Linked DNA regions of Diceros bicornis minor. The protein of the gene in region 2 purifies or fractionates together with the protein of the main gene of each other region. This does not show direct contact. Links are inferred from orthologs where the notes say so. Each region holds a gene or a part of one and is shown on either strand. Other genes may lie near its edges.

Region 1 (7,817 bases), on a different chromosome or scaffold from region 2:
TACACACCGGCTTTCCTTCCCTCAGCTCAGTATCTTTCTGCTCTCTCAGCTAAAGCCGCCTCACACTTCTGTCTTACTCATCTCATGGCTCCCCCAACCTTAGAACCTTTCAGCTGCTCCTGCTCTTGAGTGCCTGATCTCTCCACATTTTCAGGGTCATAATTCTGAGACAGAGAGAAAAACTGACTGACTCAACTCATCTTTTTGATCCAGTTCAGGTCGTAGGATGCCGGTCAGCCTATGGTTTGTCCGCTCTGGGGTCTGGTACCTACTTCTAGTGCAATCAGTTTGGACTGGGATGGAGACTGGAGTCACATGGTATAAAACATGGTCACTATGGTTGCTCTTTTAGGTGGTGCTGTGGGTGAGGCTATCTCCTTAGAAGATGCCTCCACGATAGGCATGTGTAGCTCAGGTCGCGTCCAAGCGTCATGTCGTCAGGCTAGTCAGTCCCACTTCCTTGCCCTCCTGGGAAGGCATCTTTCCCTCCTGCTTCCCTCCAGTCCTCTAAGCCTAGACTTGGCTAGTCCACCAAGGACAGCATCTGCAGCCACCGATTTGGACATTGGTCAAAGAAGGGAGGGAAGGGCCGGGAGTCAGCGTAAATGAGCTTTTACAAGCTTGTGACTAACCGGCTGTGAGATCTGGGTGGGGCCCTTCAGTTCCTCCCCTCCACTTTCCTGTCCGTGTGATGGGACTCTTCAGTGCCTCCCGCCAGCCTCACAGAGGAGACCGTGCAGACAGGGTTGGCTGTCCACCCAACAGTCATTCCACTAGCTCCATCTCCTCTTCCTTGCAGACGATCTGCGATTGGGTTTGGATGCTCAGGAAAGTAGCAAAGTGGTCCCGTCACAGCCCCAGAGGCACATGTGCATGTTCAGGCCTGCCATGGTAATTCCATTCTCCTTGCCTGCGATGGCTTCAACTTGACAATGGACATATGATGCCGCCTTGGCTAATGTATCAGCTGAAGGAGGAAGGGTTTCTGGGACAGTTTTGTGGAGGAACTTCCCTTTTGACTCTAGGACCAGGGACTTTTTGCAGTCTCTGAAGGGAATAGGCTTATCCTTTGGGAGTTACAGGAAAGCATATTTTGTTCCAAGTTGGAACAGGTGGCTTTCATTGAAGTAGGGATATGAAAAAGATGAAGGGCCTTCAGCAGGGATGATGCCGGGATTCCTGCCCTGGGCTAGGAAGTGGGAATTAAACAGGAGGAGGTTGAGTTAGAAGACCTCTAAGTCACATCCTGCCATGAGCAAGCAGAATTGTGTGATAAGTTTTCTCTAGACTTAGCCTTTTTATCATGTTAGATGAAACTGGTCTAGTTTAATAGGAGCGGCCAAACTTTCGCCCCATTTTGGCACTCAAATATTGACCCTGTTTCTACTTCCTTTGCCCATTGGTCCAAGATCTCACTCCCCTACACCATTCCTCTTTAATAACCAGTCAGACACCTGGAGGCCTGGTTTAAAAGGGCAGCTTTTCTGTGGTTGGCCTGCCCTCTGCTGGATTAAGGAGATGGACTGCAGAGACGTGGACTTCTGGGAAGGGCCAGTTTTCCTGAAAGGGGATGTGATCAGGAGAACTGATTTCTCTTGAGGTCACTCTAGATCATTCGTTTGCCAGAAATTAGATCTAGGAGGCTGTGACCCAGCCTCTGAAGTGGGGGTGGGAAGCTTCCTGATGAAAACAGCTGCCTGGTTAGAGGTCAGAAGTTGGCTGTGTTGTGTGCCCACCCGCCTGAGTTTCTTAATCCACATATGGATGGAGAGATGAGATAGACCTCATTTGTCTAGTGTTAAAGACAAAATTTCTCAGACAAATTGATCTTTAGCAATTGTCAAAGTTTATCAACTTACTAATAAAGGATCAGCAAGATGACAAAGCATACGCTTTGGGGATGGAAAGGATATGGAAATTGATGGGTTATATAGTTGGGATACAGAAAACATATAAGCAGCTAGTTTAGGGGGGGAAAAAAACCTCCCTAGCTAGGTAAAGATTGCAGTTTCATGACATATAGTAACAAAAATGTCATAGTCAAGTCCGTTATTAGAGAAGAGACATGGATGAGAAGGGGTTTGCGATGCCAGGGGCATTGACTGTCAATCAGAGATTAAAAATTCAATACATCTAAGAAGCAAAGGATGAGGATGCATATGTGGCTGCTAACTGTAATCATAAAGTTTCATTTCTCAAGAATCATGTCTGATGATCTGATTGTCATGGATGCATAAACCACAGACACAGCCGCAAATAACAAGTTCTGACTTGAAACAGGCCACTTGGCACCGGGGATTTTCTCAAGCAGCAAGCAATGCAGATAGGATACAGTTTACACCCACCCCCAGCCCCTACCCTTGCCTCACACACCTTTTCTTCTTTAGTTTAGAGGCAATTTTTTTCCTCTGAAATTAGAACGATCAGAGTTTGAATTTTTTCACATCAATTAATTTTTCAGATAACTGACTTTTGAGTGTTTAAGTACTGTAACTTTTCTTCTTGAAAGTTTTAAAAAAGATTTTTATTTTTACATGCTTATGAAAAAAATTTTAATGATGCAGAAAACTGAAGAGAATAAAATGTTAGTCCAAATCTTATCACACAGCTGATGTTAGGTGAATATCATCCAAAGAGCCTTTACGTATACGTACAGCAGCAGACTAGATAGATGGATAGATAGAACAGGCTTATGATACTTTTTCTGAAAATCTTGAGGCTCAACATGTTTTGGAATTTGGATTTTTTTATATTTTGGTATGATAATTTGGTATATATGCTGTATATCTTATAATATCTTCCAGCAGGATCTAGGCAGTACTCCATAATTAAATATATTAACATTTCTGTGTATGAATATTCACACTAAGAGATGTTTAAAAGACTGCAAATAGCCTCTCTTGAATTCAGGACAGATTTCGCTGCTAAAAGACTTATAAAATATCTTTAATTTTCACAGCTTTTTAGATTTCAGAATTGCAGGTAAGGAATTGCGGACCTGTGCCTTCATAAAATAGGATAATATAATACATGCTATTTTTTTGGAGAAAAAGTAATCAATTTAATTGTACCTGTAACTGACTGAATAAAAAGAAACTGAAGTGAAACCAAAGGAACTGCACACTTTACATAATGTTTCTTTAACACAAGAGATATTATTTTCTAAAATGTCTTTCTAAGGTTAAAGAAAGAAGGAAAATTAATAAGAGATTGGAGTCCTTACATTGGAATCATTTCTGATGGAGATCTTCCCAACGCGTTCTCAGTTCTATTAGGCTCAAGGCCTTCCAAATATTTTGTAACATTCTGTTTGGTATCTTGAAATTTATAGATAATAGAATCTATTCACACAGAAAATGAAAAAAAAAAAAGTAATGCCCAATATATAGGAAAAGTAAAAAGAAATTAATCTGTTAGAAAATATAGTGACATGTATTTCAATATTTAAATCCTTGGGCATTACTACTAAAGACATCATGAAGCAATGAGATGCTTGCATCTATGTACAATGAACAAGTTTGGATTTAATAGGAGTCATAAGAAGAGAAGCCATTCCATTCAAAATGAAAGCAGAGGTGTGGTGGACACTGGAATGAAAACTGGTGTTAAGAAATTACAGATAAGACATTTGTATAAGTGATATAAGGAAGTGACCTTAATTGAAGTAAGAATAACATAAGTACCAGGTAGAGAAAATGAAGGCATATGCTGTTGTTGGAAATGAGCTGAGTCTTATTTTCAAGGAAGATGTTATAATAATTTTCTATGTTGTGTAATGTGATGGGATAGTGAAAGAATATCTCAGAAATCAGACACCCATCTAGATATCTCACCCACGCTGGAGCAAACATTTAGGCTCTTAAGACCTTTGAGATCTTGGAGACCATGACCTGCAAGAGTTGACGGGAAATAGAGAAAGATTTGAAAAAAAAAGCAGTCTTTAGGAGGCTACAGAGAAGTGGTGTGGCAGACGTTTGGGGACATATCAGATAAGACTAAAAGCCAACAGGAAATCTCCAAATCATTTCAATACGTAACTTTCCCAGCATAGATTTCTTATCATTGTGCTGCAAATATTTAAAAAAATTTATACAGAATGGCAATACAATATTTTTAAAATAGCTTTTATGAAATTCATTGATAGCTCTACATTTCACTTGTCTCTACTAATTTAGTAACGTATGGTTTAAAGTCTATTAAAGGGAGTCTCAAGCCTCCCTGTACACATTTGCATTTGGTTTCATTGTTTTTCCAGTAATCGAACCCACTGCTGTGAAACTCTTTCCAACTAAATACTTAGTTGGAAATGCTATAAGTAATTTAGCTCTTTACAAGAAGTGGGTATGCAAATCCTAACTGGGCCCCAAACTTTCATAACTAGATTGATTAAACTGTGTTTTGGCTTCAAACTTTTTTATTAATTTATTTATTTAAACTCAATGAACTCTTCCTGCACGTGTTGGCTAGCGGTCCATTGCTTTCGAATGTATTAGTCTCCCAGTCGGGTATTGTAAATTCAATCCTATCTTTAAATCTAATCAACTAATTACATCAAATAAAAGCAAAATTTCCAAACCAGCGCAAGCAGAAGTCTCCCCCCAGCGAGGAGTCTGGAGACTTCTCCGGAGCAGGCACATGGACTCGACTTCCGGCGGCCCCTCGAGGCTCCGCCCCTCACGTACGCCACGCCCCCTTCCGTACACAGCGCCTCCAGAGCAGGCGTCGGGCGTCGAGCGGAAGTGACTTAGGCGGCTGCCGGAGGTGTCGTTGGTGTGTTGCGCTCCTGGGCCTGAGAGTCGAGTGGGGCCTGCGCCTGGGAAGACAGCGCAATGTCGATCGAAATCGAGTCCTCGGAGTGAGTCCTGCGGTGGCGGGTGTTCGCGGAGTGGCGGGGCCGGGAGGGTGGGGGGCGGGGTGGAAGGGGCCCCGGGGGAGGCGTCCGAGAGGCTGGGGGGTGGAGCAGCATCGCCTTGCGCGCAGAGAAGCTGCTTGGATCTGGCTATCTCGGAGGCGGCCCCGTGGGAAAGTAGCGGAGCAGAAGCCCAAAGCCCCGGGGGAGGGCGCGGGGCGGGGGGAGGACGCGCATTGACTCCCGGCGCGCAGTGACTGAGCGAATTACCCATCCACTCTGGACTCCAGGCCCAAGGGGGCTTGGACTCTGAGCCTTCTTTCCCTCCCCGCCCCCCTTAAGCAGTGTGCTTCGTTTCCTCCTCTGTGCTTGCACGGCCCCTCTGCCTTCTTCCGCCCAGCACTTAGCCGGTATTGTCGCTGTCTGCCCACCCTGCCAGCCCGTGTAGGCGCCTAGGGGCTCCTTTTCATTATGGTCTCGGTGCCGAGCACACCGTAGAGGCTCCATTACTGCCTTTGGAGTGCGTGAACCACTAGCTGTTTTATCAGGCTCTGTCTGGCGCTGAAGTTTGGTTAGTGTGTGAGCTCTGTGTAGCTACAAAGGAGAGACAGAATCTGGAGATTGGGCCAGAAGAAGGGTAGATTTGGTAGGGTGGGGGACTAATGAGTGACTGAAGAAGGTCTTCAGTGAACTTCTCTAGGACTCCACCCTCCACCTTGCCCTTGCCAACACTTAATTAAATCAGCAGACAACGTTTGTGTCCTGGGTGCCAGCGAGGGAGAGGACTTGTCCTGAAGATCTGCCAGAGGAGGAAGCGAAGTTTATTCATTCAACAAATATTGAAGTCTGCTATGTACTGTTCTAGATCTTGGGGATACAGTAGTGAACAAAACAGACAACACTCCTTGCCCGTATAGAAAGTACGCTGTGATTGGGGAAGGCAAACAACAGACAAAAACAATAAGTGAAATATGAGGCTTAACAGATGGTGATAAGTGTGGTGGAGAAAAATAAAGCAAAGAAGGGTGATAGAGAGTGCTGGTGATGAAGACAACTAAGTCAGGGCGGGAGTTGGAAAAGGATCCCACGCTTTGGGGCTTGAATAACAATAGACACCGACCATTCTCCCAGCCTCGGGCTGCTGCATGCTTTTATTATCAATAATAGCTACAATTTGCTAAGTATTTTCTATGCTAGTCACACTATACGCAGTATAGTTAACCCTTTCACCAGCCCTACAGGAAAGGTATTTTTCTTAACAAATGAGGAAACAGGCATGGAGAGGTTAACTGACTTGCCCAGGGCCACAGTTAGTAACTGATGGAACTCTTATTCAAACCTCAGCCTATCTCAGAAGCTTGTAGCTCTTTATGTATTACATTGTGTTTGAAGGAAGTGAATTTGATTTTGGCCGTGTCAAAGATGAGGTCTTTGTAGAGAGGGTGTCTCATTTGGGGAGTGTAAATGGAAGTGTGCAGAGGAAGATAGTATGGTACTAGAATAGCAGGGATCTAAGCCTGGGTATCTTAAAGGGGCTGTGAGAGAAAAGATTACAGACTACAGTAATCAGTTCCCTTCTGCGGGAGTTTTTAAGAAGAGGGTGTTGTGGCTTTCCTGGCAGGAATCTATGCTCAAGAGCCACCTGCCAGCTTGAATCTTCATTTTTCCGCTTATCTCTGTTACTCGGTCAAATCCTCATCTGTAAAATGGACGTAATAGTGATACCTACTTCATAGGGTTGTTTTGAGGAGTAAATGAATCAATATGTCTCACACGCTTAGAACCGTACCTGGTATGTAGTAAACACATAGTAAACATTGGTTATTGTTTTTTGGTTATTATTTCTCCCCTGGGAAAGGGAATTGATTAAATTTCAGTCTGAAATCCCTTCCAACCAGAACAGTCTGACCCTCTGTACTAGTGCCATCCAAGAGAAATGCAGTGTGAGCCACACATACATTTAAGGAAAGAGAAGGAAAACTGTATCACAGCAGCGTACAGTGAACTTTTACAGTCTATATGAACAGATTCTTCACCAGACTTCTTGATATTAAGCCCAAGATCAAGAAATTTTAACTATATATATTTAACTATGAATAACTTACAAGTTTTCTGTCACGTGTTGAAAATGGTTGCTTATCCTCTCAATATTTGGAGATTGTCTGGGTCCTCTTTTCCTTAGAAAACTGAATCCACAATGTTTTTATTTCACTTGTTCTGAAAATTGGGTAATAAAGCTAGTGGGTAAGTGTTATTTTTGTGAATGAGGACACACAGTTTTGTTTTGCTTTTGTGTACAGTATAGCTCTACTTATTTGTGTTTAAGAAAATCTCAACTCATGTTTTTTGATTGTCGCTTTAAAAATGGAGGAAATCAACAATCATTTAGAGTATTCTGTGTCAATGACTAGATCAGGTTTAAAATATTTCACTAAAGTGTGCAACAATATAATCATAAATTAATAAGAAACTTGGCAAAATAAAAAAATCTCTGGCCTTGGAAGTAAGAGAGTCACCTTGGTACCAACTCCCTGTCTAGCTAACTGTGAGAATGGGCAAATTATTCCCCCTCTCTGAACCCCACTGCTCCTGTTTCTCAGCTGGAAGTAGGACTGGATGATCCTCAAGGTCCCTTGTAACTTAGATTCTGTGAGTTTTGGGAAAGTTGTATTCGCATGATAATGAAATGGAAAGTAGGTAGTGAGAGGAGGATGGTTGAGTAGGAGAGGTAAGCTGGAGTGGGCTTATTTTGTGGCCTCTTTGGTGAGTAAGGATCCCTGAGCCGGCTGACTTGTTTTCTTCTTTCAGTGTGATCCGTCTCATCATGCAGTACCTGAAAGAGAACAGTTTACATCGGGCGTTGGCCACGTTACAGGAAGAGACTACTGTGTCTCTGAATACCGTGGACAGCATTGAGAGTTTTGTGGCCGACATTAATAGTGGCCATTGGGATACTGTTTTACAGGCT
Region 2 (7,961 bases):
AAGCTCGTGTCCTTTCTCAGTCGTTCTCTACCTCTTGCATCATCTAACATGACAGAGGGCTTCCTTTTCTTTTTCTTTCTTTCTTTCTTTCTTTTTTTTGAGGAAGATTGGTCCTGAGCTAACATTTGTTGCCAATCTTCTTTTTCTTTTTTCTCTCCAAAGCCCCAGTACATAGCTGTATATCTTAGTTGTAGGTCCTTCTGGTTCTTCTGTGTGGGACGCCACCTCAACATGGCTTGATGAACGGTGAGTAGGTCGGCACCTGGGATCCCAACTGGCGAACCACAGGCGTCCGAAGCAGAACTCGTGAACTTAGCAGATACACCACAAGGCCAGCCCCAAGGGCTTCCTTTTCTTGAAGTTCTTTCCTGTGGGTCTCTCCCAACCTTTCCATCTATTCCTTCCATGGCTTTTTCTGGCCTCCTGTCCAAGACTGTGTGTGTCTCAAGCCTTCCTCATCCGCTTTTCTGTTATTCTTTCTTCTGTGAACTGATCCTTTCTCATGGCTCTAGTATCAACTTTGATCTGATGATTCAATCTCTCCTAGACTGCCGCTTGTGTATTTCTAGCCAGAGGACTCCCTCATTTGTATGACCCACAGTTACCTCCAAGTCCAATTTTAAACTCCTCAAGGAATGAGGAGACTGATTTAGGTGAATGAGTGGTCCATAATAACGGCAGCTAGTATTTTCTGTTCAGGTCTGTTCCTGGCTTGGTCACTTTCCTACTCAACAGAGCTTCCTCAGATTAACACAGACAGACTATATTTGACCAGTTAAGAGACCTTAAATAAGAGAAGTTCTTAATTTTTTAAGTCTTAGTCTCTTCATTTGTAGATTATTTCATTTGCACAAGTGTTTTCCAGCTTTAAAAGAAAAAGCTTGGAATTCATTGTTAAATAGGTCAAATCATGGGCAAAAGTCTTGGAATTCAACACCAGCTTTTAATTTGGCCCAAATTTTTGCATCCAACATCATCTATGCTTCTTAGCATGAGCATAGAAGATGATATGGCTATATGATTAAGAATCTGAGCTCGAGACGCATTATTTACTGTCTCCATTATTTACTGTCTGTAGGAACTTGAGCAAATGGGTCAGCTCCTCTGCACTTCAGTTTCTTTGTCTATAAAATAAGGCTAATAATAGCACCTACCTCATTGGATTATTGTGACAGTTAAATGAACTAATGAATATAAAGTTGTTAGAGGGCCGGCCCCCTGGCTTAGCAGTTAAGTGTGCGCGCTCCGCTGCTGGCGGCCCGGGTTCAGATCCCGGGTGTGCACCAACACACCGCTTCTCCGGCCATGCTGAGGCCGTGTCCCACATACAGCAACTAGAAGGATGTGCAGCTATGACATACAACTATCTACTGGGGCTTTGGGGGGAAAAAATAAATAAATAAAATCTTTAAAGTTGTTAGACAGAACCTGACACATAGTTTGTGTAATTAATCATGTGACCCAAGGCAGATGACTCAACCTTTCTGAGGCTGAGTGTCTCATCAGTAAAATGGGGATAATAATAACACCTATCTTGTAAAGCTGTTTTGAGGATTAAATTAGCTTATTTATTTATTAACTCTTCATTTTGAAACAATTTTAGGCTCATGTGGAAGTTGCAAAAATAGCACAGAGCATAAAAATAAACATATAGATCATTGGGATAGAGTTGAGAGTCCAGAAACAAATAAATGGTCAGTTTATTTTTGACAAAGTGTCCAAGACCATTCAAAGGGGAAAGAATAGTCTTTTAAACAAACGGTGCTGGGACAACTGGATATCCACATGCAGAAGAATTAATTTGGACCCCTATTTCACACCATACATAGAAATTAAATCAATATGAATCATAGACCTACATGTAAGAGCCAAAACTATAAAACTCTTAGAGGAGCGCCGGCCCAGTGGCTTAGCAGTTAAGTGCGAGCGCTCTGCTGCTGGTGGCCCAGGTTTGGATCCCAGGCGCACACTGACGCTCGCTTGTCTGGCCATGCTGAAGCTGCGTCCCACGTACAGCAACTAGAAGGATGTGCAACTATGACATACAACTATCACAAACATACAACAACAACAACAAAAAACAAAAAAATAACTCTTAGAGGAAAATGTAGGAGCATATCTTTGTGACTTGGGTTAGGCAATGATTTCTAAGATTTGATACCAAATCTTAAGCAATAGAAGAGAAGATTTGATAAGTTGGGTTTAATTAAAAACTTTTGTGCTTCAAAGAACACCATAAAGAAAGTGAAAAGATAACTCAAAGAATGGGAGAAAAATTTTGCATATCATATATATGACAGGGAACTTGTATCTAGACTATATAAAGAACTCCTACAACTCAACAATGAAAAGACAACCCAATGTTAAAATGGGCAAAGGACTTGAAAACATATTTCTCCAAGGAAGATATGTACGTATATATATAGATAATATATATGTAGTATTTTATTACAACAAGGATGAATCTCAAAATCATTATGCTAAGTAAAAGAAGCCAGTCACAAAAGACCACTATTCTATGATACCATTTATATGAAACGTCCAGATCAGGCAAATCTATAGAGACAGAAAGTAGATTAGTGGTTGCCTAGGACTGAGGAGTAGGAGGTGGGAGGAAACGGGGAGTGAGTGTTAACGGGTACAAATTTTCTTTTCGGGATGATGAGAATGTGGAACTAGATAATGATGATAATTGCATGACTCTATAAATATACTAAAAATCATTGGATTGTATACTTTAAACAGGTGAACTTTATGAAATGCAAATTATATCTCAATAATGTTGTTTAGAAAATAGTAAAGAGATTTCCTGTATACTCTTCACCCACTTAAGAATTTCTTTTCTTTTTTTTTTTTTTTGTGAGGAAGATCAGCCCTGAGCTCATCCATGCCAATCCTTCTCCTTTTGCTGAGGAAGACCGGCCCTCAGCTAACATCTATTGCCAATCCTCCTCCTTTTTTTTTCTTCCCTTTTTCTCCCCAAAGCTCCGGCAGATAGTTGTATGTCATAGTTGCACATCCTTCTAGTTGCTGTATGTGGGACGCTGCCTCAGCATGGCCAGACAAGCGAGCGTCGGTGCGCGCCTGGGATCCGAACCTGGGCTGCCAGTAGCAGAGTGCATGCACTCAACCGCTAAGCCAGGGGCTGGCCCAAGAATTTCTTACATGACAATAGTAGGACAATAAAAACCAGAAAAATGACATTGGTACAATACTATTAAGGAAGCTATAGAGAATATTAAGATTTTACCAGAGTTTATAACAATATCTGGCACATAGTGAAGCTTACGCAGGTGGTAAGGACTTCACTACAATGACGATGATGAACATAATGATGATAATGTACATAATAATGATGATGCTGGACTTTCTACTGTAGCCAGATTGATCGGCTGCTGTTTTAGAGCATGCCATGTTCGTTTCTCTTTCTAAACTCTAACTGTAGCAGTTTCCACCACCTGGGATTCTTTTTTCCTTACTCTTTCCTTATCCCATCAAATCCTTCACATCCACGCATCTCCACCAAATCTTTTTTTTTTTTTTGTGAGGAATATCAGCCCTGAGCTAACATCCATGCTAATCCTCTTCTTTTTGCTGAGGAAGACCAGCTCTGAGCTAACATCTGTTGCCAATCCTGCTCCTTTTTTTTCCCCAAAGCCCCAGTAGATAGTTGTATGTCATAGTTGCACATCTTTCTAGTGGCTGTATGTGGCCTCAGCATGGCCGGAGAAGTGGTGCGTCGGGTGCGCGTCTGGGATCCGAACCCGGGGCCACCAGTAGCGGAGCACACGCAATTAACCGCTAAGCCACAGGGCCGGCCCTCCATCAAATCTTTAAAAGGCAAAAGATTTATTCCATCTGAAGAGAAAAAGACGCATCATCAAATCTTTAATAATGCTCCTCTCCCTCCTTTGAACTGTAGAAGCCTCCATACCAGCCAGCACTTGCCTGGACTCTCCTTTGCATTTTCCTCTAGTTATTTCACCTATGAATCCTGAATTCCCAACTAAACTGAGAGGCTATATGGGTTTCATTTCCTCTGCACCTTCCACAATAAACTTGGTGTGAATTCAAAAAAATTTATCCTTAAACTAGATTCAAAGTTGTTACCAAAGGATAGAGCAAGAGAGAAAACAAGGATGGCAGGAGATGGAGAGCAATTCAGGCAGTAAGACAGGCAGAGCCTGAGGGAGTCAAGAAGCATTTATAGGGTGTCTACTATACACTCCATAGTGTAATCATTGCCAGAGAGAGAAAAGAGGAACGGAGGAGAGGAAAAAGACACCCAGCAATGTTGTTCCCCAAGGCCTCTTTTATTTTTCTAGGTTCATTGACTAACTCTTCCTTGACTTCGCAGGCAGGATTAAAATGCTCTGCCCCTGAACTCCTGTACAGGGAGTTCACGCGGCACTGTAGGAACCTGGGTTTTTGCCTGCCTTCCCGCTACCCTGTGAGCTCCGTAATGTTGGCTTTTTCCCTGCTGTATTCCCAATCTCTGATACATAGCGGACGCTCAATAAATGATGGTTGAATGAACGAATGAATGAATGCATGAACAAAGGACTGATTGACTCAGAGCTACTATTGTACCCCAAGTCTGCATTTATGAGACTAGACACAGAATAATGTGCAAATTTTGACAAATTTATTAAAAATCTGGAAGCCTGGGTCTTTGACTGTCCGACGCCAGTCACGGATAACAGTGCGAGGTCGCCTAGAGACCGGAGACAGCCCCTGAAACGCGGGAGGCGGAGCTTACGGCTCCTCCGACCACACCCCTTCGCGTTCAAATCTTTCCGCCTATGGACCCGCCCCCTTCAGCCCGAAATGCAACTCTAATTGGTGAGCTCTGTAATCCATCTGAGCTCTTCGACGTCTATTGGATCCACTACTGAACTCCGGTTGCGCACTTCCCGGTGTTGGGAACGCAGAGCGGACGTAGGCTTGCCGCCATTGCGCTGCGGGGAAATCGGCCGACGGTGTGAGGGGCTTTGGGGGTGCGTGAGGGGCTTCAAGGGCCGGGCTGCGGGGGGCGTGGTTGGATCGGGCTGAGTGGCCCGAGGGATTGGGCAGTACGCACTCTGAGCGAGGCGGGACTGCAGGCCGGGGTTCTCGACGTGTTCCTGCTGCGCCTCTTGTAGGCCCGGGCCTTGTGGCTTGTTAATTTTTCCCTTCCGCCGCCCCCCAGATTCTCCGGGCATGGCCGGAGTATTTCCATACCGAGGGCCGGGTAACCCGGTGCCCGGCCCTCTAGCCCCGCTGCCAGACTACATGTCGGAGGAGAAGCTGCAGGAGAAAGGTGAAGAACGCGTGCAGGCCTGGCTACTTGGGGGCGGGTGTGCGCGTGCGCGCAGCGGGTTTGAACCCTTTCCCCGTTTTGGCAAGTGTCAAAACGTTAGGTGTCAGTTCCCTTATTAGCCCCATTTATTTTTTCGTCTGATCAAGTCTTTAAAAGCGTCTGTTATTTGCAGGCACTGATCCAACCAATGGGGATACAATAGTGATGAAGACAAACTCCTGCCCTGATAAGGTTTAAATTGCAGTGAGGGAAATAGACAATAAAAACTTAAAAAAAAAAATCTGTAACAAAAACGTCAGGCAGTGATAAATGTGATGAAGGAAAAAATAAAGCGGAGTGAAATGACGAGAATTGGCAGGGAGCACTCCAGCTGTACGCACAGCTCTCCCTCATCCAGACAGGAGCTTACCCTAGGGCAAGAGGTGGGAATGATTAGGCCAAGGGTGTGCAGTCCTTTAAACTGAGGTGTCTTTGTAGCCCGCAAATGGCAGCAATTGCAAGCCAAGCGCTATGCAGAAAAGCGGAAGTTCGGATTTGTGGATGCTCAGAAGGAAGACATGCCCCCAGAGCATGTCAGGAAGATCATTCGAGACCATGGAGACATGACCAACAGGAAGTTTCGCCATGACAAAAGGGTCTACTTGGGGTAAGGAGCATCCTGGAATTATTTCATTTGGAGCTTGGCCCCTTTCCCTTCTCCCTATCTCATAGGTCACAGTCCTGGATAGCTGCTCTGTCATTTTGGGACAGGCATCTTCTGTGACAGCCCATCTTGGTGGTTATAAGAGAAGAGGGAAAACCACTAGAATTCTGTGATAATTTCCAGATCTTCCAGTTATATTCTTTATTGCCCTAATTTTTCTTCTTGGTCTGGGACTGGAGCTTAATTTGTCCTGTTGGTGCTATGGTAAGATGTTCCTATTTTTGAATGGATTGGAGCCCAGAGCAGGACACTTTGTACATTCTTGTTGCCTGTAACTCCTCAGTGACCAGAATTCTGAGGTTCCGGATGTTTAACTCCTGAGGTGTCTATAATCTTGTTTTTCTCTGTCCCCAAGCTGATTGAGTATAGGTACAAATGCCTTAGCAAATCCCTTTTCTGTTTGGACACAAAAATGTTAGCCACTTAATGAGCTGGTCTAAGACAGACATGGAAGTTTTGTTTATTTCAAAAAAAAAGAAAAAAAAAGTGTATATATATGTTTTTTGAGAACTGTGCTAGGTGCTAGGGATATAGCAGTGAACAGGAAGTAATGGCCTTTTTGGAGCTTACGGTCTAGTGGCATGACAGATATGAGACAAATGGTTACAATAAAGTATGGTAAATATTGTATTATTATTTATGGGACGGTACAGAGAGAATAGAATGTGTGACAGCCTAAAAGCTGTCTTTAGAGGGACAGCTGTTGATTTAGAGGGACTGAAACCCAGTATTTTGGGACTGTGAAGTTTAAGAAGAAGAGTGACATAATTGGAGAGGGAGAGGCAGAGTTGCCGATCATGGCGGGCCTGTCTATGTTTGGGAGTTTGGACTTTGAGGCAGGGTTTTCCGTGGAATGTGATACTATGGTACCGTGTGGCTTCTGTGCACGGCACAGGTAACAGCTAACACTTTGTCATTTCTAATCATCTCTCTTCCTAACGTTGCAGTGCCCTAAAGTACATGCCCCATGCAGTCCTCAAGCTCCTGGAGAACATGCCTATGCCTTGGGAACAGATTCGAGATGTGCCTGTGCTGTACCACATTACTGGAGCCATTTCCTTTGTCAATGAGATTCCCTGGGTCATTGAGCCTGTCTACATCTCTCAGTGGGGGTGAGATAGTGCTGGAATATAACCATGTGTGGTGGTGGTGGTTGTGGGGCAGTGGGTAGAAACCATTGTGTGACATTGTTGGCTTCCAGGTCAATGTGGATCATGATGCGTCGAGAAAAAAGAGACAGGAGGCATTTCAAGAGGATGCGTTTCCCCCCTTTTGATGATGAAGAGCCGCCTTTGGACTATGCCGACAACATCCTAGATGTTGAGCCTTTGGAGGCCATTCAGCTAGAGTTGGACCCTGAGGAGGATGCCCCTGTGTTGGACTGGTTCTATGACCACCAGCCACTGAGGGACAGCCGGAAGTGAGTGACAGTTGGAGTTAACACTCCTGTGGGAGTTTTGGAAATCCACAAGGAGTTCTGGGAGAACAACGGGTAGTGTGGCTTGGCTAGCTGGTATACCTCCCTGATGCGGGCTCTTCTTTTTTTTCCTAGGTATGTGAATGGCTCCACTTACCAGCGCTGGCAGTTCACGCTGCCCATGATGTCCACTCTCTACCGCCTGGCCAATCAGCTCCTTACAGACTTGGTGGATGACAACTACTTCTATCTGTTTGACCTGAAGGCGTTTTTTACCTCTAAAGCACTCAATATGGCCATTCCTGGAGGCCCCAAATTTGAACCTCTTGTTCGAGATATCAACCTACAGTAAGTTGGAGAGAATAGGGATTTTAGGCACCTTGGGTTGAATAAAATCTACTCTTGATCCTTAAGATCTCCTTGTAGCTTCCAAACTCTCCAACTAGTCTGCTCATCCTTGATTTTGTACCGTAGGGATGAAGACTGGAATGAGTTTAATGATATTAACAAGATCATCATCCGGCAGCCTATCCGCACTGAAT
Region 3 (8,091 bases), on a different chromosome or scaffold from region 2:
AGCCTGCCCTTGATAAGAGGACACTGCCTCCTATGCCACAGCCTAGACCAGTATCAGTGATGCAGGCAGCATCTGAGTGACCCTGAATGCCAGTGCTGGCAGCCACTCCCGAGCTCCTAGCTCACGCCAAACACCAGGCACACAGACAGGAGTGGGAGCCAACTCTTTTCCATCCCCCTCGTCTTTAATTTACCAGCAAACCTCAGATGGCATGCTGTCACCTCACCAAAAGGGAATAATAATGCCTCTGCTGCTATTTATTGAATGTCCTCATTGTGTCAGGCACTGTCCCAGACAGTCCCTCAAGATGTATGCATTCATTTATTCATATTTTAGAGCACCTACTATGTACCAGGCGCTGCTCTCGTGCTGAGGACATATTGATGAATAAAACAAGTCCCTGACGTCACAAAGTTTATACTCTAATCTTATTCTGATTCTCCCAACACCCTAAGAGGTGGGCACTAATCCATGTCACACAGTCAGGAAAATCAAGACTGGGATATGAGGCACATGACCAAGGTCACACGGTAAGGGAGCAATGGAGCTATGCGTGAAACCCAGATCTGTGTGATTTCAACAACCGGGCTCCTCCTCTGCTATCATCCTACCCCTCAAAAAAGAAACTAATGCTCCATCCCTCCCACCCCCTAGTTCTAGTCCAGTGATCCATTCTCTTCGAGTAGGGAAGACATCAATTCTCATCCAGGGACTCACCCACTCATCCTGCAAGGCTTTCAGAATGGCTGGGATGCTGGTAGCTGAGGGAGGTTTGGGCCGGATGGGGTGAGCAACTGCCAAGAGAGGGAAAGCAGGTATGAAGATCCATAACCCGGGGACTCTTCCTCTCCACCACTCTTTTCTCTTTAGCCTGCATTAACACACAACCATCTCCTCCTCCAGTGCACTGGTACCACCTCCCACCCTCTCAGGCTCTGAGCTAAGATGGCCCTGGACTGAGGCCAGCCACTGGGCACCTTTGATGTCGATGAGCTGCTCCTCGGACAGAGGCTGGTTGTTGATGGGGTCTGTGCCATTCTCTGCAATATACTTCTCAATGAGCCGCCGCTCGTAGACATGGTGAGAGACAGGGGACACGCACGGGTGCTCTGGCACTTCATTGGAGACTGCAGAGAAAAGGCAGGCAGTGAGCAGGGGTGGTGAAAGGGACCTTGGGCCAAAGAGATGCCTCACTCACTACTGGCCCCCACAAGACCATGCATCCCCACACTCAACTCACAGGAATCAAGACATGACACCAAGCCAGTTTTGTCCTGTCTCCAGAATGCTTTCCAGCTACATAACTGGCTTCTCCATCAGTCTCCTGACACTCAGATAGTCAACAAGTAATTATTGCACAACAACTACGTACGAGACACCTAAAGAGCAGTCAATAACCCTGCCCATCTTGTTTTTGAACAAAGATGCTTAGTCACTCCTTATACTCCAGGACATGGAGATACACATGAAGCCACTCAAATCTCAGTCTAGAGCCTAGATGGATTATTAGACAAAGAAATTACAAAGCAATATGACAAGTGCTATAAGAATAAAAAACATTTACATGGTGTTTACTAGGTACCAAGCACGATTGGAAACACTTTCCAGAGATTTAATTCATCCTCACCACAACCCCCAACAGAGGTATCATTTACACGCCTGCCTCAGTAGACTGTGCACCCCTGAGCATAGGGATTACAGCTGGTCTCTGACTTCCAGGACAATGCAGATGCCCAGCAGGCACTGGGTTAACATCTAACATGAGCGAATGAGAGGAAGGATGGTGGTGGGGAACACAGAAGAGAGGTTCTTCAAGATACAAAAGAAACAATGAATGGGACAATACTGTGCAACCTGTAATTTTTTCAATGTGAAGGTTCCTCTTTCTAGACATCATTTTCCTTCCTTCCTTATTCCCTCCCTTTTTTTTGATTTATGGAGAGGTTCTGAGAAGAGTCAAGGGCTTGACAATTAGGACGCAAATAGAGAAAAGGATGAGAGACCAGTCACGGGATGAAACAATAACGGAAAACATCTCTATGCCACAATAAAATACCAAAAGGAAAGACAGTACAAGGCATGAAAAAAGCACGGATTCAGGGTCAGAGAACCCAGCTCCATCACCCAGCTCTGCCAATTACTAGCTGTGCAGCTTTAGATAAGCCACACTCTCCTGGAGCCTTACACCCTCATCTGTAAACCCGGCCGGGACCTTTATTCCTGCTTTGGAGAATTCTTGGGAGGATAAAATGAGATCACCGACTTGGAAGTGCGTTGTAAACCAATAAAGGCTTCATAAATGCACGCTGTTTTTATTAGTCGTGCAAGATGAGGTTGGGAGCCGGAGACCTGGCTTCCAGCCCTGTCACTGCCTCCATCTCACTGCGTGACCTTGGCAATCTGCAGAAGCTCTGACTCCAGGGCGGGACCTCAGACAACATCCAGTGCAAAGCCCTCATTTTGCAAATGGGGTAACTGAGGCCCAGAGGCTTAAGCCAGGTCACAAAGCCAATCTGAGGCGGCTCCTGCACCAGCCTTCGGGTTCCCCGATTCCTGCACCAGCTCCCCCCGTCCAGGCCCCAGTCCCCACTACGTAAACGAGGTGGCTGGCCCCAGGGATGCCTGCGACCATAAACTTGAGGCGTTACGTAAACTGTGAAGCGCTGCGCAAACGCACCCCCAGCTGAGGGGGAGGAGAAGGACCCCCGTGCTGACAGGCCGCCGCCCGGCCTCCCGGGAGCCCTGCTTTCACCTCCGCCCCGACCCCAGATCCTCCCGCTCGGCTCTCCGGCCTCCTGCGACCCGCGATCGGCCGCCGCCGATACTCACTCGAGCAGATCAGGGACATGGCGCCGTCGCCGCGCTCCGAGGCGCCTCGCACCGAGCTCCGGGATTAGCTTCTGAGCCGCCGCGGGCCACTTCCGGTTCCCGGCGGCTTCCGGAACGCTCCGCGGCGAGCGGGGAGCGACCCGCCGAGCGATGCTCGCGTCGCGCTTCACGTGGGACTGCGGCCGGTCGCGCGCCTCAGCCTCCAGCACCTAACGGAAACTGCCCTTTCCCAGAATGCAACCGTGCAGGAAAGGGCCCGCCAGGGAGCACTCGTCTATTTCCGGACTGACTCGGCTCCTTCCGTAAAGCGGTCCCGCGGCGAGGGGAGAGGCGAGCCGAAACTACATTTCCCATGATGCAGTTGGAATTTAAAGCCAAAGCAATGCAGCAACGCTTTTCTGAGACTGGCCCTCTGCCGGGCCATGGGATCGTACGGAGTCTTGCAGTCTTTGGTGTGCGTGAGAATTTACTAACGAACTTGTTAAAATGCGTATTCCTGGGCCTGCCTTGGAAAGTCTGCATTTTCAGTGCATGCCCCATGTGATTCTGAGACAGGTGTTTCTCGGACTACCCAGGGACACTGCTGGGTGACACGGTGAAGAAAGTACAGATGCAGACAGGTAGAGAAACTAACACGGGTCAAGAAACTGTTCTGGTCCTGCGTTTACTACCAATTTGCTCTGTGATCTTGGGCAAGTCATCAGCTTCTCTGCCCCTTTCCTACATGGCTTCTAGGTCCTTTCCAGCTCAGATCGTGTGGGATTCTTTGTGGATATCTATAAGTGATAAATAAATGGCAAGCAATAGGATATATTGGAGCATATGAGGAAGCCATTTGGTGTAAAACTAATTAGGCCTGAGTTTGTTTTCCCAAAAGGGCCTGTCACCATTAAACATGCATTGTGTATCTGCTTTACCATGTCCCAAAGAGAAGAGTAAATGTCCTTAAGATAAGGATGCAACGTCCCCCACATTGGCATTTCCTTAAGGATAAGCATTTCTCCTTAGGCTAGGATTTGATTGCTGCACTCATCCTGTGACCACCCAACTTGAGAACAGACCTGCATCCAGCCACGCCCATCGAGACAGCAGACCTGCCACGCTCTGTGTCCATCAATAGCTATTCTGGCAGGGCAATCTGACACGGCGATCTTGTGGCTATTGTAAAAGGGACATTGCAATCATATGTGATATGTGCTCTTTGACAGTATATAACTGCTCTGTACACCCCACTTCTCTGGTGCCCCTCCTTCCTTGGGGAAGGAAGGTCCCAGGCTATGGTCCTCAAAAGTTGGCTCGTAATAAACCCACCCCAATTTTGATTTATAGATTGATTACGGATTATTTACGTCGACAAAGATAAGATACTTTCAGGAATCATGTACAGAACATGTGGTGTGGGATCCAGACAAAGCAGCAGGAGAGACAGGTGTGGTCAGTGAAGTCTTCTTCACTGGAGAGGTGTGAACGAGCTGGACTTTGACAGATGGGCAATATTCAGATAGAAGAGAAGGAGACTAGAGGGCAGCTCAAGAGCAGGTACAGCATAAGCAAAAGCTTGGAGAGAAGAAGAAAAGTTGCAGGTATGAAAGGCAGACAGCATAGTGGCCAAAGGCGTGGACTCTAAAGTCGGATTGTGTTCTAACCCCAGCTCCACTCAGCTAGTAAGCTGTGTGAACTTCTCTGCCTTAATTTCCTCATCTGTAAAATGGAGGGAGTGATAACAAGGGTTGAATTAACTCACAGGGTTGTTGTGAGGAGTTAATGTTTAAAAAAATGCTTTGAACTAAGCCTGACACATAGTAAGTACAATATAAATATTCATGTTTGTTATCATTATCCCTAAAGCCAAGCAAGATTGTCCAAACTACTATCATCTCTCCCCTGCACCAATAAAATAGCATCCTAATTGGTCTTCTTGATCCCAGCCTGGCCCCCTTCTAATCCACTTTCCTCAGAAGAGCCAGTGATCTACTTTCAATGAAAACTCTATTCCCGATACTCCCCAGGCTTTTCATTCATTCAGCAAATACTGGTTGGGTGCCTCCTAGGTGCCAGGCCGTGTTCTGATAACTGGAGATACAAATGATGAACAAGAAAGACAAGGTTTCTGCTCTCTTGGTGCTTACATTGGGTTTGGGGGGTGGGGCAGCATAGACAATCAGCACATAAGAAGAAAATTCCAGAGAGTAAGTGCTAAGAATAAAACAAATCAGAGTAAGGTGGATAGGATGGATCAGAGGGATGGACTATTTTAGGCAGGATATTCAGGGAGGGCATCTCCGAGGAGGTGACACTTTTGCTGAGACCTGAATGAGGGAGAGTGGTTCTGGCAGAGGAAACTCACCCCCACGTCCTGCACCATCTGGCCCATTCTGACCCTCACAGTCTCACCTCAACTTCTCTCCTGCCATACTGGCCTTTTAAGTCCTCAAACTTACCCACTCTGGCTGGTTCCAGTATTTTTGTCTGGAACACTTTCCCCAACTCCCTCTTTTCTTCTCCTCCCCTCCCATCCCCTCCAATGTAAACACCAGTCTCGCCTTAAATGGCACTTCCTCTGGCGCGTTTTTCTTGACCCCTGACTGAAGTTTGGTCCCCACAGCACGCTGTAATTCTCCTCTGGGCCACTCTGGATAACTAGAATCATTTAATTATTTACAAGTATCTGTTCGATGTCTGGGTTCTCCATTCAACTGTAAACTCCATGATGGCAGAACCATAGTTGTTCTAGCCACTGTTGTTTCTGAGAGTCTAACATGGTGCCTGACACATAGCAGGAACTTCATAACTATTGTTGGTTGGATGACAGGCTGCCTGACAGGCCAGGCGTCTTCCGTACTTGGACATGGTAGGAAATAAAATGGATCCATTTACGTGGAGCCTTGAAGCAGAGGTGGTTAGACTTGATTGGGCTGGCAGCAGAAGAGCAGTTGAGCTATGGAGAGATAACCACACATCCAGAAGATTCCTCTGGAAGACACTCACTGGATGGGTTGGAGGACAGACTGGAAGGAGAGAGATGCAGTGGTTCATTTATTGGACAAATATTTATTGAGTGCCCATTGTGTGCCAGTAAGGCACTGTACTAGGCATTGGGGATTCCACTGTGAGCAAAACCAGAGGAGTCCCTATACTGGGGAGCTTATGGCTGTGACAGAAGAATGGAGGAAAAAGGGAGTCCTTTCAAGCCTTCTGAGTTTCAAAGCCAGCCCCTCATGGAATAGAAAGGATTCAGGGCGACTGATTTTGGAGTAAATATTAAACAGGTAAGAACTCAATCTCAAGCCAGGGCCAGCCCCGCGGCTTAGTGGTTAAGTGCGCGCGCTCTGCTACTGGCGGCACCGGGTTCGGATCCCAGGCACGCACCCGATGCTGAGGCCGCGTCCCACATACAGCAACTAGAAGGATGTGCAACTATGACATACAACTATCTACTGGGGCTTTGGGGAAAAAAAAAAGGAGGAGGATTGGCAATAGATGTTAGCTCACAGCCAGTCTTCCTCAGCAAAAAGAGGAGGATTAGCATGGATGTTAGCTCAGGGCTGATCTTCCTCACACACACACAAAAAAAAACCTCAATCTCAGATTTCTCCCAGTCTCCCCCTAGAAGAGATAAAGATTCCCTAGGCTGGGAAAGGAGACATAGGGGATAGCTGTTGGTGGGTCCCCAAGAAAGGAACTCTATGCCCTTCTCCCCCCCGCCAAGGCTGCTGCTGCTTGGGAAGCAAGGGGACACATTGGCCAATAACCCAGAAGAAGCTCTGTTTCCCAGGAAGATTAAATGGCAACCTGTGTGGACAAGTGACGGAGGATCAGGCAGGACGATATAGCTCAAACAACTGACACTGAGGATTCAATGAATTCCCACCCCCACAACCTTGGCCCTAATTAATTTTCCAAAAAGTGTGTACAAGCTGAAAATCAAGGGTAGGAAGAACCCTGAACTATCTGAGGAAGAACCCTGAACTATCTGAGATTGTTTCTACAACACTTAGATGGAAAACAGAGTTGAACAGAAATGAACTCCTTATAGGAAAAAAAGAAAATTATGTTTCTTGCACAGGGAAGTCTGTGATTTGAGATTGGTAGTTCTACAAATCACAAATCTCACAAGCAAATGTAAAGTTGCAACTGTTAGAAAGACTGGAAAGTGAGGCTCAGAATGCTACCAGAGCCTGTTCTGGAACAGAGACCCTTCGCTGATGCAGGAAGTGATGAGGGTCCAGAGGAGGATGGATGTGTCTGAGAAACATCTGAAGGAAAGGAACAACTGGAAGAGGTGACAGACTGGATGCTACTAGAGTGTGTAGTCTGGGAAGAAGGCAGAATTAGAAGGCTGATTCAGGAAGCGGGGGACAAAAGAGTTCCGCTTTAGAGTGTTGGGTTTCAGGAACTGTTTTAACATCAAAGGGGCAGCCTCCCTATGGCAGTCAATGTGATCAAAGCATTCCCAAAGCATCTTGGATGTTTTTTTAAAATGTTCACTCTCGTTATTTCATGAATCTCCACACCTACAGTGGAGCGAAATGGTATTTTTAGAACTTTATAATACTTTATAGTAAAGTTGAAATAACTGAGACCCAGAGAGATGAAGCGGGATGCCTAGAATCACAAAGCAGGCAAGGGATCACCTTTTGCCAAGTCCCTGGTCGTTCCCCCTCGTACTGCTTGCTGCCTTTTTATAGAAATGGGGTCTGGGAGTTGGTTCCTTTTCTTTAAAATTGAGTGAACGTTTGGGAGCTATCTGCAGAGTGCTGGTGTGGAATTGCTCTCAGAAGGAGCAGATGCATTTTCCCAGCGTTGTGTGCCTCTAACTTCTTCTCTAACACCTTTTTCCTTTGTGCCTTTTTAGCGCGAAAAGTTTCTCAAAACACCAGGTGCCCTCTGGCGCCTCTTCGTTAGAACTACATTTCCCACAATGCCCCTGGAGGCATCTGTAGCTCGAGAACTACATTGCCCGAAATGCCGAGGGCCTGAAGAGGCGGATAGGCTTCGATCCCAAATTCAAAGATCCAGTTTACGCACTTTACAGCCCAGCTATACAGTAGTCACTTCTTCTCCTTTCCTGCCAGAGACTTTCGTTCCCAGCTCGAAATTCCGATCTCACTCTTCTCTCGGAAGGAATGCTTGGGGGAAAAAAACGTAATCGAGAAAGTACGGCGCATGCGCCCACTGCCGCGGTCTGAACCGTGGAGGAGGCCGGCGGGTCCCCGGGCTCCTCCCGCCTTGCGCGTGCGCAGACGATAAACCAACGCCCCA
Region 4 (7,973 bases), on a different chromosome or scaffold from region 2:
ACTCTTCCCCAGATCTTTTAGTGCTTGCTTCTTAGCATTCATGTCTCTGCTCAATTATACCTCCCTAGAGCAGATTTCTGTCCACCTTGTCCAAAACAGCACTCCATCCCACGCTTTCAGTCACTCTCTATCCCTTCATCTTTAACTCCTACTATTCACTACCTAGGATTGCATTATTGATTTGTTTACTCATATATAGTCTGTCTCTCCTAGAACGTAAGCTCTGTGAGGATAAGGAGTTTGCCTGGCTGATTCAATACTGTAAAACCATCAATAGAAGAGTGCCAGGCACACAGTAGACCTTCAACAAATATTTACTAACAGAATGAAGGAATGGATGGATGAACGGAGTCAAAAGTTTTGGGCTTTTACCGTAGTTGTTTTCAGTAAACCATATATACCCAATACACAGGACAGAGACAAAGACAGTTACAAAGAAGCTAAAATATTTACTTCTATTTCATTTTTCTTTTCTTTTCTTTACCCTCTGTTGGAAGAACTGGTCACTAAAATGATGAAAAGGCAAGCAGCCTGCCAAAGCAAACAGTTTGGACAATCCAGTAAACAGGTAACCTGGCCTGGATTGAGGTCAGAATATACTTAAGTTTTCCAGAGGGTCTTAACTTTGTTGTTCCCTGTAAAGGATGACATTCCCACAAAGAGGCACACTCCTGGGGAAGGGGGGTACATAGGGGGCTGCGAATGTAAGGAGAAAGTCTACCCGAGTGGTTCTCAACTGGGGGCAAAATATCTACAATGCAGCTATTTGACAATATCTGGAGACATTCTGATGGTCAGGACTTGGGGGTAAGGGGCGGGACGAGGGTGATGATGCCAGTGGTATCTAGTGGGTAGAGGCCAAAGATGCTGCCAAACATCTCACCACGCACAGGACAGCCCCATGCAAGAATGAACTATCCACTCCAAAACGTCAATAGTGCCACTGTTAAGACATTTTGGTCTACCCTTTCCCCTTTACTAAAGAAAGTATATTAAATGCAAGCGATATTATTAGATACATAACCTTAAAAACACTTGAATTTAGAAAATTAAATCAATATGACTTTATTTAAATTGAGGTAACACTCGTATATAACATTATATAAATTTCAGGTATATATCATTATATTTCAATTTCTGTGTAGATTACATCATGTCCATCACCTAAAGACTAATTACCATCTCAGTATGACTTTATTTTTTTTTTTGAGGAAGATTGGCCCTGAGCTAACATCTGTTGCCAATCTTCCTCTTTTTCTTTTTTCTCCTCAAAGTCCCCGTACATAGTTGTATATCCTAGTTGTAGGTCCTTCTAGTTCTTCTACGTGGGAAGCTGCCTCAGCATGGCTTGATGAGCAGTGAGTAGGTCCCACGCCCAGGATCTGAACTGGTGAACCCAGGGCTGCCTAAGCAGAATGTGCGAACTTAACCACTACGTCACTGGGCTGGCCCCTCAGTATGACCTTAAATCTTTAGTTAGTAACAATCACGGGTGACACCAAGACTGCAACACATCAGTATGTCAAGTCCCTGCTGTTAAGAATCCCTGGTAAATCTTGGAGATAACAACACTTCACCTGGAAACTTGAGACCATCTCTAAAAACCAGATCAGTCAGAACTAACTCAACAAAATCAGAAAGCTATGTAGTCCCCTAGACTAGCCATTTAAAGATTGCACTCTGCCACTGTAATTTTAAGCACACAGTACCCACAACATCTCTGGTATTTTTCCTGTGTGTCTTTCTCAAATTCCACCTTTTCCACAAAACCTTTCCTCATAACCCTACTAATCTTTGTCACTGTGCCTCCCACCTGGAGAGCACTCAAACGTTTGCTGCCTGTAACATTTACTAATGGAAACTCTCCAGTTCATTCAGCTCACTTCATCTATTTCTTTTTGCACGTAAGTTAGTACTACACAAATAAGCATTTTGTGTTGTTCTTTGTTTCATATCTGTATGCCTTGTTACCACATCTTCCCTGCAGCCAAAGACTGTCAGATTTCCTTTTGCATACACACAAGCCCTGGGATAGCGCAAGGCACTCAAAAGTAATTCCCAAAAGAATTTTCTGATTAAAACATTTTTAGGATTCACAACTGTCGTCAACCAGGAAACGTACATGTGAGGAGAATGAGATGTGTTTAGGGAGCTCAAGCGGATGTCCTAAAATGATTCCTTTCTTTATAACCCTCTTTGACACACAACTTTTCCTGCTGCGTTCCCATGGAAAGTTTTTCTACTTAGATGGGGCAGCTAGGTCGCGGACTAGTGCAAGTTACGTAACTTCTTGGAATCTCCCAGTTAGGCAACTTTTTCTCAAAGGCAGGGACCACTTTACATGCAGTTACCGAGGCAACCGGGAACAGCAAAAATCTGAAGTGTTTCTACCTACGGAAGAAATTCTAAGGTTCAAAGTTGAAGTGCGGAGCAGCGGCGCGAATTAGTGGACAGCGGCCACTACTGTGGCTACTTGAAAATCTCTGTTCAGTGCCAGGCCCCCTTTTTTTTCAGGAAATCTTGTTTCGGGACAGAGACGGGAGAGAGACTTCGGCAGACAAACGGCCGGAAGACCGCTTCACTCCGCCCAGACAAACAAGCCACTGCCCTCCATACCCCATCGCGCCCACCCGAGCCGCGGACCCGAGGGAGCGCTCTCCACACCCCCAAGATGCTTAAGCCAAAAACACGTGGGACTCCTCGGCACCTGAGGCCACAGAACTCTTCGCCACGCCGCGGCTTTCGGCCCCATCGAGGGGGCGAACTCAACCCGGGAAGCCGCTCAGGAAAGACCCCAGCTTCGGCGAGGCCTAGTCGCCCCGGCGGCCGGCGGGAGGGCCTAGCCGTGATCTCGGCCAACGCTGCTCTGTGCCCCAGGCCGGGTCACCGCCCGGAGAGTGTGGGCAGAGAAAAGAAAAAGGTGGGTACTCCCAGACCCTTCCGTATCGAGGACCCGAATCAACAACCCACCTGGTGAGCGCCATCTTCTTCCGCTTCTTCCAGCGCGAGCGACAGCACCGCGGGGCGGGTCTTTCCCGGCGACAAGGAGGGGAAAGGAAGGCGCGCGCAACGCGCAGGCGCCGTAGACGAGGGCCTTCTGGGATTTGTAGTTCTTTGAACAAGAGACCTATTCGGTTCTCATCTAACGAGACCGAGCGGTTATAAAGGCATAAGCGCTTCGGTTAAGAAAAGCAAATGCATCGCTCGTACACTGTGACATGAGAGGGCGTTCCCTAGGCAAAATAAAGAAGTTGAGATGCTTTTTAAGCCGCTTTATTTTATTTCCCACTCAGTCTCGTTCTCCTTGTAGGAGTCTCAAATACAAGAGCCTTCCCGGGACGGCAACGTTATATAAAAGGGTGACAGGGTTTTAAAACAATAGGAAATCGTGAGACTGGCGAATGGAGAATTAATTCTTGGACGCTCTGAAAACATTCACACTCAAAACTTTTCTTTAAACGCTATCCCCTACCCCCTTACCTATCCCCCAAAACACTCTCCTGGGGAGGTATTGTGTGACCCTTAGTAAGTAGCCTTTAGTAGAACACTCCTCATGTGTATTATGTATGTATGTTTTTATGTGTATGTGTTTTAGATTGATTATGTGTTTTACATAGATTATGGATTAAACATAATCTTTGATGAAGTGATAGGATAAATGAAATCTGCTTCAAAATATTGGAGAGAGGGAAGTGGGAGGAGTACAGATGAAATGAAAATAGCCATGAGTTTTGATCATTGTTGAAACTGGATAATGGAGAAATGGATGTTCATTATACTATTCTCTCTACTTTTGTATATGTTTGAAATTTTCCCTGATAAAGAGTAGAAACAAACTTTTAATTGCAGTATAGCACACATATAGAAAGGTGCATACATTCTAAGTGTACAGCTCTTTGAATATTCCCAAGCCAAACACTTGTTTGAGCAGCAGAAGCACCCCCGACCCAGGATCATTTGATTTCTGGTGTGACAAGATGTTCTAGGCTCATCTAGTACTTTTTCTGCCTCAGACCTGGAATCAACCATTTCTCCAAGGAGCCCTCTTTTAAGTGGGAAAGTGATATTTAGAGAAAACAATCTGGATGCTACGAATGTTCATTGTAACTGAGTTGATTATTGTTTGCCTTTTCAGTGGATAGAGCTAAAAAATTCACATAAACATATTTTTTGAGAAAATGCATCATTCATTCATACTAATATATTCAATACAAATTTAGGATTACACAGATTTTACTTAAGTTTGATTTTATATGCATTTCTCTTCTGAAAATCTGGTCTAATGGTATTAACATAATTACTCATTTGCTTTATTCTACTATATATAAAATAGTATTCAGAATAACATTACTAATATGGTTACTAAACATATGCTTAGTGGTAATAGTTTCTGATTTTTTTTTTCAATTCTTTTTGTCATTAGGGTATCTCTCTCTAGGCATATATAGTCAAATTACATCGCTTTATAATTTTATTTATTTATTTATTTTTTCCCCCAAAGCCCCAGTAGATAGTTGTATGTCATAGCTGCATATCCTTCTAGTTGCTGTATGTGGGACGCGGCCTCAGCATGGCCGGAGAAGCGGTGCCTCAGTGCGCGCCCGGGATCCGAACCTGGGCCGCCAGCAGCGGAGCGCGCGCACTTAACCGCTAAGCCATGGGGCTGGCCCAAATTACATTGCTTTAAAGTGACTTAGAATAATTCCTCTGTGTGTGATTGTGCGGCTAACTTGATACCCAGTTAGTTTATTTATTTCATTTTGTTTTGGATTTTTAGTGGTTGCTTTTTTAAAAAAAATAGTTTTGTGAAACAGTTACGTGGTTTCAAAGCCAAAATTTACCAAACAGGTAGTGCATTTAGAGAAGTCTACATTCTTACCTTGTCTCTTCCATCCTTTTCCTTCCTTTCCCTGTAGATAACCTTTAAAAAAATATTTTTTATGGTTTATCCTTACATTTAAAAGTATACACAAATACATATATATTTGTATACTTCTCTTTCTTTTTTAGATAAATGGTAGATACCATACACACTTTTCTCCACCTTGCTTTTTTCTACTTATTAAAATACCTTGGAGATCACTCCTTTGCAGTATATAGAGATTATGTTGGAGATTTTGAGCAGAGAAGACACAAGATCTGACTTATATTTTAAGAAGGTCATTATGCGTGCTTTGTTAAAAATGGACTCCAAGAAGCAAGGGAGGAAATGGGGAGACCAGTTGGGTGGCTTTTGCAATAATTTAGGGGAGAGATGCTGATAGCTTAGGCAGGGAGTTAGTGGTAGAGATGGTAAGAAGAGATTGGAATCTGGATCTGTTTTGAAGGTATAACCAACAAATTTTGATGATGGTGTTGATGTGAAGTATGGAGGAGAGTAATCAAGGATGACTCCAAGGTTTTTCCCTGAGCAGTTAGAAGGATAGAGTTGCCATTTACTGAGATGGGAACACTGCAAGAGTGTCATGTTTGTGGGGAAACATCAGGAATTTGGTTTTGAACATGTTACATTTGAAATACTTATTAGATGGCCAAATAAATATGTCAAGTAGGCAGTTTATATGTAAGTTTGAAGTGTGGGGGGAAGTTCTGGGCTGGAGACCTTTGGAGGCAGATGGTATTTAAATTCATGGTACCAGATGAGATTACCCAGGAAAAGCGAGTGTAGGTACAGAAGAGAAGTGGTCCAAGGACAGGCTTCTAGAATGAACTCCAGTGTATAGAGGTTGGGGAGATGAGGAGGAACCGGGAAAGGAGACTGAGAAGGAATGGCCAGAGGTTTGATCAATGCAACCAGGAGAGAAAGCATCAGTCTCTCTTTTGGATCAGAAGCTGTACGTTTGTAGGCTTGAGTTACCAGTATCTATCTTTCCTGGCATTATAGCAAGAGCCTGTAACAGGGAAGAATAAAGCCACCATGCAAAAAGAAAGAGAAACCAGAAGGGTGAAGAGAAGGAGAGTAAGAGATTGACAGATGTTGAGATCTCTGACAATATTATGGGAGTTCCTGGGTCCAGCAGTGCCCGAAGACCACACCACCTTGAATCTTTTTTAATTAAGTGAGCCAATAAATGATTTTGTTGGCTTAAGCTAGTTTGAGTTGATTCTCTATCATTTGCAATGGAAAGGAATTTATACAGTGTTTATTTTCTGTGCTCCCATAAGACTTGTTCTTCCCGCATTCTTAACATTTATCACACTTTGTAGATTTTGATGGTTTACATGACTGCAAGGAAGATTGAATCTCTCTCACCATTGTATCCCTATCACCTTTGCCTGCACGATTTTGGTAAGTCCTCAACCCTCACTGGATTTCAGATTCCTTGTCTATAAAAGGACAGAATGGGCCCGGATAATATAAAAGATCCTTTCAAGTATCAAGATCCTTTGATTCTTGGTACTTTTGTCTACTTTTTCAACTTCTAGAGGTTTAAAAATTTGCTATTCCATGAACTATTGATAAACACAACAACTTAGACAAATCTCAAAGGCATCAAGCTGAGTGAAAGAAGCCAGTCTCAAAAGATTACATATTATGTGATTTCATTTATGACATTCTTGAAAAGATAAATCTATAGCGACAGAGAACAGATCAGTGTTGCCAGGGATTGGGGTGGAGGAAGTAATTGACCACCGTAAGGAAATTTTTTGGGGTGATGGAATTGTTCTGCATCCTGATTGTGATGATGATTACATGCATCTATACATGTGTTAAAATTTATAGAACTGTACACCAAAAAAGTCAGTTTTACTGTATGACAATTCAAAAAAATAAAATTTAGGGGCTGGCCCGAAGGTATAGTGGTTAAGTTTGCGCACTCTGCTTCAGCAGCTCGGGGTTTGCAAGTTTGGATACCGGGCATGGACCTACATGCCGCTCATCAAGCCATGCTGTGGCAGTGTCCCGTATACAAAGTAGAGGAAGACTGGCACAGATGTTAGCCCCGGGACCATCTTCCTCAAGCAAAAAGAGGAAGATTGGCAACAGATGTTAGCTCAAGGCCAATCTTCCTCACCAAAACAAAAAAAAAAGTTCTAAAAAATAAATAAAATTTAAAAAATGCCTGGTCTAGCTCTTACTAGCTCTACGGTTAGAAAGGCCTTCTTAGCCTCATTCTGCATCAGCAACATTTACTCTATGTTTGCTGTGATTCAGGGCACTCCTTGGATTCCTAGAGCCAGAGACGTGGTTTCATAAAATGTGTATTTTTAAGAAAAGTAATGGAATAGAAGATGTATTCATTTTCTATTGCTGTGTAACAAATGATCACAAACTTAGTGGCTTAAAACAACACCTATTTATCAGCTCACATTTTTGTAGGTCAGAAGGCTGGCACAGCATGACTGGGTTCTCTGTCCAGGGTATCAGAAGGCTGAAATTATAATGTTGGCCAGGCTGAATTCTCATCAGGCTGAGGCTCTGGAGAAAAATCCATCTCCCAGTTCATTCTTGTGGACAGAATTCAGATCCTTGCAGTTGTAGGTTTGAGGTCCCTGTTTTGTTGGATGCTGTCACAGGCCACTCCCAGGTCCTTCCCACGTGACCCCTGTAGGTTGTTCACACCATCGATGTTTGCTGTCTTCCAGGCCAACTGGGACACATCTCTCTGACTTTGTCTTCTGGTACCAGCCAGAGAAAACTCTCTGCTTTTAAAGGGCTCGTTAGTTAGGTCAGGCTCACCCAGATAATCTCCTTATCTTAAAGTCAACTGTGCTGTGTAACATAACACAATCAGGGGGACTGGTATCTCATCATATTCACAGCCCCAGGGATTATGCAGGGCTTGTACGCGGAGTGAGGGGGAGGGAGGAGACCCTCAGGGAGATCTTAGAATCCTGCCTGCCAGAAGATGTAAACCAAAAGAAAAAAAGCTGTTTTGGGGGCTGGCCCGGTGGCTTAGTGGTTAGGTGTGCGTGTTCTGCTACTGGCGGCCCAGGTTCAGATCCCGGGCACGCACCGACGCACCGCTTCC

The links.
Region 1: the proteins of PRPF8 (region 2) and SMU1 purify together in Homo sapiens (affinity purification with mass spectrometry; 3 studies listed by BioGRID, with this or other methods). This does not show direct contact. The link is inferred for Diceros bicornis minor from reciprocal best matches to the Homo sapiens genes PRPF8 and SMU1.
Region 3: the proteins of PRPF8 (region 2) and PRPF19 purify together in Homo sapiens (affinity purification with mass spectrometry; 5 studies listed by BioGRID and IntAct, with this or other methods). This does not show direct contact. The link is inferred for Diceros bicornis minor from reciprocal best matches to the Homo sapiens genes PRPF8 and PRPF19.
Region 4: the proteins of PRPF8 (region 2) and SNW1 purify together in Homo sapiens (affinity purification with mass spectrometry; 5 studies listed by BioGRID and IntAct, with this or other methods). This does not show direct contact. The link is inferred for Diceros bicornis minor from reciprocal best matches to the Homo sapiens genes PRPF8 and SNW1.

What each region holds. Positions count from the first base shown.
Region 1 is NC_080761.1:53,144,776-53,152,592, reverse strand, and holds the start of SMU1 (WD40 repeat-containing protein SMU1), read left to right. Parts: upstream 1-4,753; 5' UTR 4,754-4,829; coding exon 4,830-4,855; intron 4,856-7,657; coding exon 7,658-7,817. UniProt on the Homo sapiens protein: Involved in pre-mRNA splicing as a component of the spliceosome. Regulates alternative splicing of the HSPG2 pre-mRNA. Required for normal accumulation of IK.
Region 2 is NC_080757.1:16,064,479-16,072,439, forward strand, and holds the start of PRPF8 (pre-mRNA-processing-splicing factor 8), read left to right. Parts: upstream 1-4,946; 5' UTR 4,947-4,997; intron 4,998-5,188; 5' UTR 5,189-5,199; coding exon 5,200-5,299; intron 5,300-5,776; coding exon 5,777-5,945; intron 5,946-6,949; coding exon 6,950-7,114; intron 7,115-7,203; coding exon 7,204-7,422; intron 7,423-7,554; coding exon 7,555-7,767; intron 7,768-7,893; coding exon 7,894-7,961. UniProt on the Homo sapiens protein: Plays a role in pre-mRNA splicing as core component of precatalytic, catalytic and postcatalytic spliceosomal complexes, both of the predominant U2-type spliceosome and the minor U12-type spliceosome.
Region 3 is NC_080770.1:12,513,219-12,521,309, reverse strand, and holds the start of PRPF19 (pre-mRNA-processing factor 19), read right to left. Parts: upstream 3,022-8,091; 5' UTR 2,849-3,021; coding exon 2,830-2,848; intron 1,128-2,829; coding exon 978-1,127; intron 795-977; coding exon 718-794; intron 1-717. UniProt on the Homo sapiens protein: Ubiquitin-protein ligase which is a core component of several complexes mainly involved pre-mRNA splicing and DNA repair. Required for pre-mRNA splicing as component of the spliceosome.
Region 4 is NC_080763.1:25,536,540-25,544,512, forward strand, and holds the start of SNW1 (SNW domain-containing protein 1), read right to left. Parts: upstream 3,042-7,973; 5' UTR 2,985-3,041; coding exon 2,971-2,984; intron 2,921-2,970; coding exon of another isoform or gene 2,672-2,920; exon of another isoform or gene 2,378-2,671; intron 1-2,377. Other genes in the region: ADCK1 (aarF domain-containing protein kinase 1), read left to right, coding at 2,672-2,920, 6,208-6,289. UniProt on the Homo sapiens protein: Involved in pre-mRNA splicing as component of the spliceosome. As a component of the minor spliceosome, involved in the splicing of U12-type introns in pre-mRNAs.